Linked DNA regions of Rattus norvegicus. The protein of the gene in region 1 purifies or fractionates together with the protein of each later gene. This does not show direct contact. Links are inferred from orthologs where the notes say so. Each region holds a gene or a part of one and is shown in the gene's direction. Other genes may lie near its edges.

The links.
Region 2: the proteins of Nudcd3 (region 1) and Klhl9 purify together in Homo sapiens (co-immunoprecipitation; 3 studies listed by BioGRID and IntAct, with this or other methods). This does not show direct contact. The link is inferred for Rattus norvegicus from reciprocal best matches to the Homo sapiens genes NUDCD3 and KLHL9.

What each region holds. Positions count from the first base shown.
Region 1 is NC_086032.1:85,189,700-85,193,124, reverse strand, and holds the end of Nudcd3 (nudC domain-containing protein 3), read left to right. Parts: intron 1-413; coding exon 414-524; 3' UTR 525-2,849; downstream 2,850-3,425.
Region 2 is NC_086023.1:108,450,582-108,454,858, reverse strand, and holds the start of Klhl9 (kelch-like protein 9), read left to right. Parts: upstream 1-1,182; 5' UTR 1,183-1,629; coding exon 1,630-3,483; 3' UTR 3,484-4,277.

The sequences.
Region 1 (3,425 bases):
TGCTAGAACACCTCTGCATACCTTAGTCATGTGCCTGAGGGGCTGGGCACCACCCCTCATATCTGAATCATCTCCCTGGGGTTACTGTAGGCTCTGTGGGTTGTGTGGAACCTGGACAGACCTAATGAACTATAAAGAGCAGTCAGGGCTTCCCTGGAGACCAAAGCTGGAAAGCTAGAAGTTCAGTCTTGGGAGAGCAAAGACTCGTTCAGAGGAATGGCAGTCAGTAGGTGCCTCCCTTGGGCACAAACTACTTACTGCAGGGCCTGCTGTCCTCTGGCCATTTGGCCCTAGCAGGCAAATCCTCAAGCCCTGAAGAAGCAGGATGTCTCTTTGCCTGCAGGCAGTCTGTTCTAGGAGAAAGCATGCAGTGCCTTGTGATCTCCTTTAATCTCTCTATTTTCTGTTTGTAGAAAGTCCATGAGATGCTGAAGAAGGGGTGGGATGCTGAAGGCTCTCCCTTCCGAGGCCAGCGATTCGACCCGGCCATGTTCAACATCTCCCCAGGGGCTGTGCAGTTTTAATGACCGGAAGTAAAGGAAACCCTCGCCATCGGGGAGATGGAGAGTTGTCCTCCTCGCTCCCTGCATGCCAGGGACTCACCCCTCCTGATCAGTCCTAGCCATTTTTTCTTTCATGATGAACCAGGCCTTCCCTGCTGACCTTCCACCTTCAGACTATTCTAGAGAAGGTGCAGGGCCAGCTGCTTGGCAGTGTCTATGGCCAACACTAAATGAAGGTGTTTGACATGCAGGAGGGACATGGCCCAGCCTACTGGTAGCACATGTTCTGTCTCCACAGCAACCAGGCACTGCAGGCAGCATTTCCTTTCTCCCCTGTTCTCTCTGCTTGCTGTTGTTTTGACGCTATTCTGCTTGCTTGTCTTCTGATTGGGGATAAGGAGTGGCTGGGCTCAGACAAAGCTAAGTTGAATTGTGTGGGGCCAGGCACATGCATGAGGGCTAATGGGGCATGGCTCTGGGGCTCCTTCTGGGGCTGCTGTGGGGTTCCCTCACTTGTTGACCTGTCTGTCTGTCTGTCTGTCTGTCTGTCTGTCTGTCTCTCTCTCTCTCTCTCTCTCATATGTGTTTGTGTGCTGTGTGTGTATGTTTTCCATCTTGTTCATTTCTTTGTGAAAACACTTGGCCTGCCTCAGTTTTATGGGTAGAGCAGCAGAAACTAGGGTCTGTTTGAGATGTTGGGAGAAAGTTTGAGGTTCTGGCCTCTGGCCCAGGTGTGGCAAGGATCCTGTCTGTCCTCTGACTGCAGCTGCCTGCTTTGATCCTTGTTGAAGTGAACTAAGACTAGCCACCACTACTTGCTTCCCCCCATTAGACCTCCTCTTTGGGTATGCTGCATTGAAGCCTGGGTACCTTCAAGAAGAGATCACAGCATATTGGTAGTTCATTGGCAGATCGTGTCAACTACACTCCCTAAGGAGCTTTGACCCTGAAGGATGCCTCAGGAAGAAATGTGTATCCACTAGCTTGAAGGCAACTACAGTTGAGTCCAAGAAAATGAAGATTTCCCTGTGCCAATCACCAGACTGCTTCCTAGAGCTCAGAGCCTGTGTGGCCAGTCCAGCCAAGGGGTAAGAATCTGAGCAAGGGACCAGGACCCAGGTGTCCCAACCCTTTAAGGACTCTCTCTGTGGCTGTTGGTGCCTTGGCATCTCCATTTGCCTGGTTCTCAGTCTTGGTGTGCACAGCACTGGTTTCTGTACTCTGGTAACCAACCATACAAACTGCAAGAATTAAGACCCATTGAAGCCAAACAGCCTGCTCTCTGGAAATAGCCCTGCACCGAATTCCATGTCCACGTGCTTGGAAGGAGCCCTTGGAAGAGCAGATTGTAGAACTTACTCAACTGTTTAGACAGGAGCTGGCTCGTTGCTATCATTTGAGGGATTTCTGGTTTATTTCTTAAAAGTCCATACTGGGATTTAATCTGTGGGCCCAGGTAGACCATGGTGGTAGGCAAGGGGTAGCATCGGAACCTAAATACCAACTCCAGCGTCTGAGCTTGTGATTGGACATTGGTTACCAGGTTGATGACATCTCTCTAAAGAGGTCATCATTTGGGAGTAGACTCTGTCACATTCACAAGATCCCCAGGACACTTCGCTTTTAGTTCTTGAAGTTTCCATCAAGGTCCTAGGATGTGCATGTCCCTGTCCCATGCAAGCTCTCCCACCTAGTGAAGGAAGTCTCGTGGTGTGTATGTATCTGCAGCCCTCTCTCTCAGCTGGCTGCCTCCCTCTCAGCTCTCATCCTGTGGGTAGTCTTGCAGAAGGAGTAATGATGTGGAAGAGCCCTGCATCTTTCTATTTAGGACAATGCTTCACTCTGTAGCGACTCATCTTCATCATTTTAGCATGGTTTTATTTTCCGTGTTATGTTTTTTTCTTTGTCGATGCCCCATTTGAGCAAACAAGGCTGTATAGAGAAAACAGCCTGAGGGATATAGTATTTGTGTAGAGGCCATGTGGCAGGAACCTGTGCTCTGTGACTGATCCCTGTGGCATGTGCATGGTGTGGTGGTGGCTACTGTGTCTACATGTCTGCATTACAGGGAGACTCAATCCCAACCAGCCGAGTAGATAGTTCTATGCCCTGTTCTTTGCCCTGAGGCCCTACCCTGGTTTCCAAGCCACTGAAGCTGGCACATTGCCTGTTTTCTCTTTTTAGACACGACAGCCACAGTTTGGCCTTTAAGTCCCACCAGCTGAGGTCTGAGGAAAGCAGGGTGACTCTGTCCCCTTTGTCCAAAGACCCAAAGAGTGGGGTGTCCAGCCTGCAAAGTCGCTCTGGCTCCTCGGTGTTGGTTTGCAATAAATCTGTATTTAAGCAGTTCTGGGTCTGTCTGTGACGTTCACTGTTAGGACACTGCCGTGAGTGGTCATTACCCTTGACTTCTGGCCATGAGTCCTGAGTCCCTGTACGTGGTTAACACTAAAACCAAATTCTCTGGGTTGTTCCTCATGACCTGTCACTACTTTTAGAAATTCTATAAGCTATTAATTTTTATTATTACTATAAAGACCCATTCAGAATCCTGAACCACCCTGCTGGGGATTCCTTTTCTTGGGGTTACTATTGCCTTGATTAAACTCCATGACCAAAAGGAACTTGGGGAGGAAAGGGTTTGTATATCTGGCTTATACTTCTATGCTATAATCGGTCATTGAAGAAAGTCGGGGCATGAACTCAAGTGGGGCAGGAATCTAGAGGCAGGGGCTAATGGGGCCATGGAGGAATGCCCACTTCTCCTGGCTTGCTCAGCCTGCCTTCTTACAGAACCCAAGACCAGCAGCCCAGGGATAACAACACCCACATGGGCTGGGTATTCCCCTAGCAGTCACTAGTTAAGAAAATGCCTAGTTTTAGATCAGGCTTGTCTATGGCCAGATCTTATAGAAGCACTTT
Region 2 (4,277 bases), on another chromosome or scaffold:
ATGACGACCACGGTGTTGTTCTCCTAGTTTGGGGAAAAGAATGTTGTCCTACTGGTTTCCTTGGATTGCTGCAATTGTCCAGAAACCACAGGGAGAAGAAGGAAGGAGAAATTAAAGGAAGATTAACCACTTATAGTTAAGTAAATCAGTTGCATACATTTTTTGGTCACCAACAAGTTGTAAGTAAGCTCTCTATATACCAATTTTGGAAAATCTTGAACTGGAAAGAAAAATCAAGTAGGATACATGCCATTTAGAAAAGAGTCAGGAAGTGGAACAGAAAAATATAAGTATATTCTTAGTTTGCATACAGGTAAACCCTAGAAGGATTTAAAAGACAGCAACAACTTCAAACTTCGAGAATTGAGAATTATGGCAAATTATTTACTTTTTTCTTAAATCAAAATTAAAATCTGCCAGTAGCTAAACAACTGCATGTTAATAAAAAAATACTTATAAAAGCAAAGTTCAACACAAGGGAAACACAGACCCAGGCATTGGTGGTACAATATTTTGGAAACATTGACTTGAATATTCTACCAAATATTATTATCCAAAAGAGGGTAAAGTTTTGTGTTCAAATCCTCTAAGGTTATTTCAGACCGTTATTACAGATCATAATAGTGTTTGGAAAGCAAACCCCTGAAAACAGGTATTTTTTTTTGAAGGCATTACTCTCCTGCCAAATATTCAAAATGTATCATTAGGACCAAAATTTAGTGACAAGTTAAATGTCATGTGTTTTAAAAGTTTTTTTTAAAATCTTACAAACAAAATTTTAATTGAGATGTTTATTAAATCGAGTGTGATGCAAACTGTAAAACTGTTCTTGAAGAAAAGAACATTAAAATGATACACTGATTTCCCTTGCCAGGTTTCTTCTGTTTGAACAAAGGCTGCGTTTCGTTGCTGTTCTGGCAAGGACCATTGGCGTAAATCTTGAAAAGAATGCGCTCTAAAAAAAGTGCTAAGAAAACCTACCACTGCAAGCTTAAGCACACGCACGAGCATTCCTGAATGCTTACATAATGGCTTCTCCGCAGGCCTGGCTGGCCGGGCGGAACCCCGCCCCCAGTCCCGCCCGCGCCCTTCCCCCATCCACCGCCCCCTAGCCAGGTCAGCCGCGCAGGCGCATTAGCTGTGCAGCTGCTCCTAGCCCGGGGGATCCTGGGATTCGGCCTTTCCGGAAGGTCGAGCTGGGCGTCGGTGCTAGGCCGCCGTTCTAGGCCCAAGTCGGAATTCCAGGCCCTGCTCCAAGCCAAGCCGGTGGCCGCAGAGACACATCGAAGACCGCAGAAGTCGCAGCCGCAGCTCGCTGAGGTGCTGAACCTTGGAGGGCGGCAGCCCGGGTGCGCAGGCCGTGACGGCCCCTCCCCCACCCTGAGCGCAGCGGCGAAGGACGACAACCCGGGCCGGACGAGGTGAAGCGGTCACGTAACTGCCTCAGGTGATGACTCACCGACTCTACTGTCAGATTTGACGTGCGTGGTGCTGCTGCAGGGCGGACGTCGGTGTGCCCAGTGCGGTGCTGCGGCGACCGCTTGCCTGTTCGGCGGCCCTGCGTTTCCCCAGAGCGTTCTCTTTGTAACGTCTGCGGCCTGCAGCTTGCTGCGAGCTCCGGGTTCTCCCATGAAGGTGTCGCTCGGTAACGGCGAGATGGGCGTCTCTGCCCACCTGCAGCCTTGCAAGGCTGGAACTACGCGGTTTTTTACCAGCAATACGCACAGTTCTGTTGTATTGCAAGGCTTTGATCAGCTCAGAATAGAGGGACTGCTTTGTGACGTGACTCTGGTACCAGGCGATGGAGAGGAAATCTTCCCAGTTCATAGAGCCATGATGGCGTCTGCCAGTGATTATTTCAAGGCCATGTTCACAGGAGGAATGAAGGAGAAAGATCTAATGTGCATTAAGCTTCATGGGGTGAACAAAGTTGGTCTGAAGAAAATCATTGATTTTATTTATACTGCAAAACTCTCTCTCAATATGGACAATCTTCAGGATACTCTTGAGGCTGCCAGCTTTCTACAGATCTTGCCGGTTTTGGATTTTTGTAAAGTATTTCTTATATCTGGTGTCTCCTTAGATAACTGTGTTGAGGTTGGACGGATTGCTAACACCTACAATCTTATAGAAGTGGATAAATACGTAAATAATTTCATCCTGAAGAACTTTCCTGCCTTGTTGAGTACCGGGGAGTTTCTAAAACTCCCCTTTGAACGGCTTGCCTTTGTGCTTTCCAGCAATAGTCTCAAGCACTGTTCTGAACTTGAACTCTTCAAGGCAGCCTGCCGCTGGTTGAGGCTGGAAGACCCTCGGATGGACTATGCTGCAAAATTAATGAAGAATATTCGCTTCCCACTGATGACGCCACAGGATCTCATCAACTATGTGCAGACAGTAGATTTCATGAGAACTGACAATACCTGTGTGAATTTACTTTTGGAAGCAAGCAATTACCAAATGATGCCATATATGCAGCCAGTGATGCAGTCAGACAGAACTGCCATTCGATCAGATTCTACTCATTTGGTTACGTTAGGAGGAGTTTTGAGGCAACAGCTGGTTGTAAGTAAAGAGTTACGGATGTACGACGAAAGGGCGCAGGAGTGGAAATCGTTAGCCCCTATGGATGCTCCTCGATACCAGCACGGCATTGCTGTTATTGGAAACTTCCTTTATGTAGTTGGTGGTCAGAGTAATTATGACACAAAAGGAAAAACTGCTGTTGATACAGTCTTCAGATTTGATCCTCGTTATAATAAGTGGATGCAGGTGGCATCATTAAACGAAAAGCGCACATTTTTTCACCTGAGTGCACTCAAAGGACATTTATATGCAGTTGGTGGACGCAGTGCAGCTGGTGAACTGGCCACAGTAGAATGTTACAACCCAAGAATGAATGAATGGAGCTATGTTGCAAAAATGAGTGAACCCCACTATGGCCATGCTGGAACAGTATATGGGGGTTTAATGTATATATCCGGAGGAATTACCCATGACACTTTCCAAAATGAGCTCATGTGTTTTGACCCAGATACAGACAAATGGACACAGAAGGCTCCTATGACTACAGTCCGAGGTCTGCATTGCATGTGTACAGTTGGAGACAAGCTGTATGTCATTGGTGGCAACCATTTCAGAGGAACAAGTGATTATGATGATGTCCTAAGCTGCGAATACTATTCGCCAACTCTTGACCAGTGGACACCAATTGCTGCTATGCTAAGAGGTCAGAGTGATGTTGGAGTTGCGGTCTTCGAAAACAAAATCTACGTTGTTGGTGGATATTCTTGGAATAACCGCTGCATGGTAGAAATTGTCCAGAAATATGACCCAGAAAAAGATGAGTGGCATAAAGTTTTTGATCTTCCAGAGTCACTTGGTGGCATTCGGGCTTGCACTCTCACAGTTTTTCCACCTGAAGAAAACCCTGGGTCACCTTCTAGAGAATCACCTCTTTCAGCACCTTCAGATCATTCTTAGATTCAAGGTGTAATACCTTTTCAGTGTATCAGGGATGGTGTTGTACTTCCCCTTCAATTGTCTCTCCTTATTGCTACAGTTAATAGACAAAAAGGTAACTTAGGTTTTTTTTTTTGTTGTTGTTTGTTTGGCTTCAAATTGTTTATTAGATGGCTAACAAGTGCATTTTGAAAAGTATTAAATATATTCAGCTGTTTAACAAGTGAAAAAGATACATAGAAAATTAGATGTTTTTTGTAGTGTTACATATGTCAAATTGTAGATCATAGTAAATGTGTAATGATGTCTATTATACTAAAAAATTGAAACATTTGATTTGACTGAAACATTAAGTGGAGGCCCCTGTTCTAATCTAGAATAAAGATTGCCAGGTACCGCTACCTCCCTCTTGGATAGTTTTGGACAATCTGTTAAACTAGGCTGTGTGATTAGTCTTAGAATATTTGAAGTTTCTTAGGTAGTCAGAAATAGTGACAAAATTAGCGAGAAGAAACAGGTCAGGATTTGTTATCACTGGAGGAAAAATAATAGATGTGTACACTAGTCAGATACACTCACACAAAACTTTGTGTGTACATATATATAAACTTTTAGACTTGGTAAAAACTTCAATTGTAGTGAAAATGACCTTATATTTTCTTCCAGAAAGCAGCTAATTTTATTTCAATGAAAATTCAATACCAGAGAGTCCATGTCTAAAGTCTTATACAGAATTTAGATGCTAAGGGCTACAACAAACTAAATTGACAGCCAAATTTGTCATTTAATGGAATCGTTTCTTTAAATAAAATTTA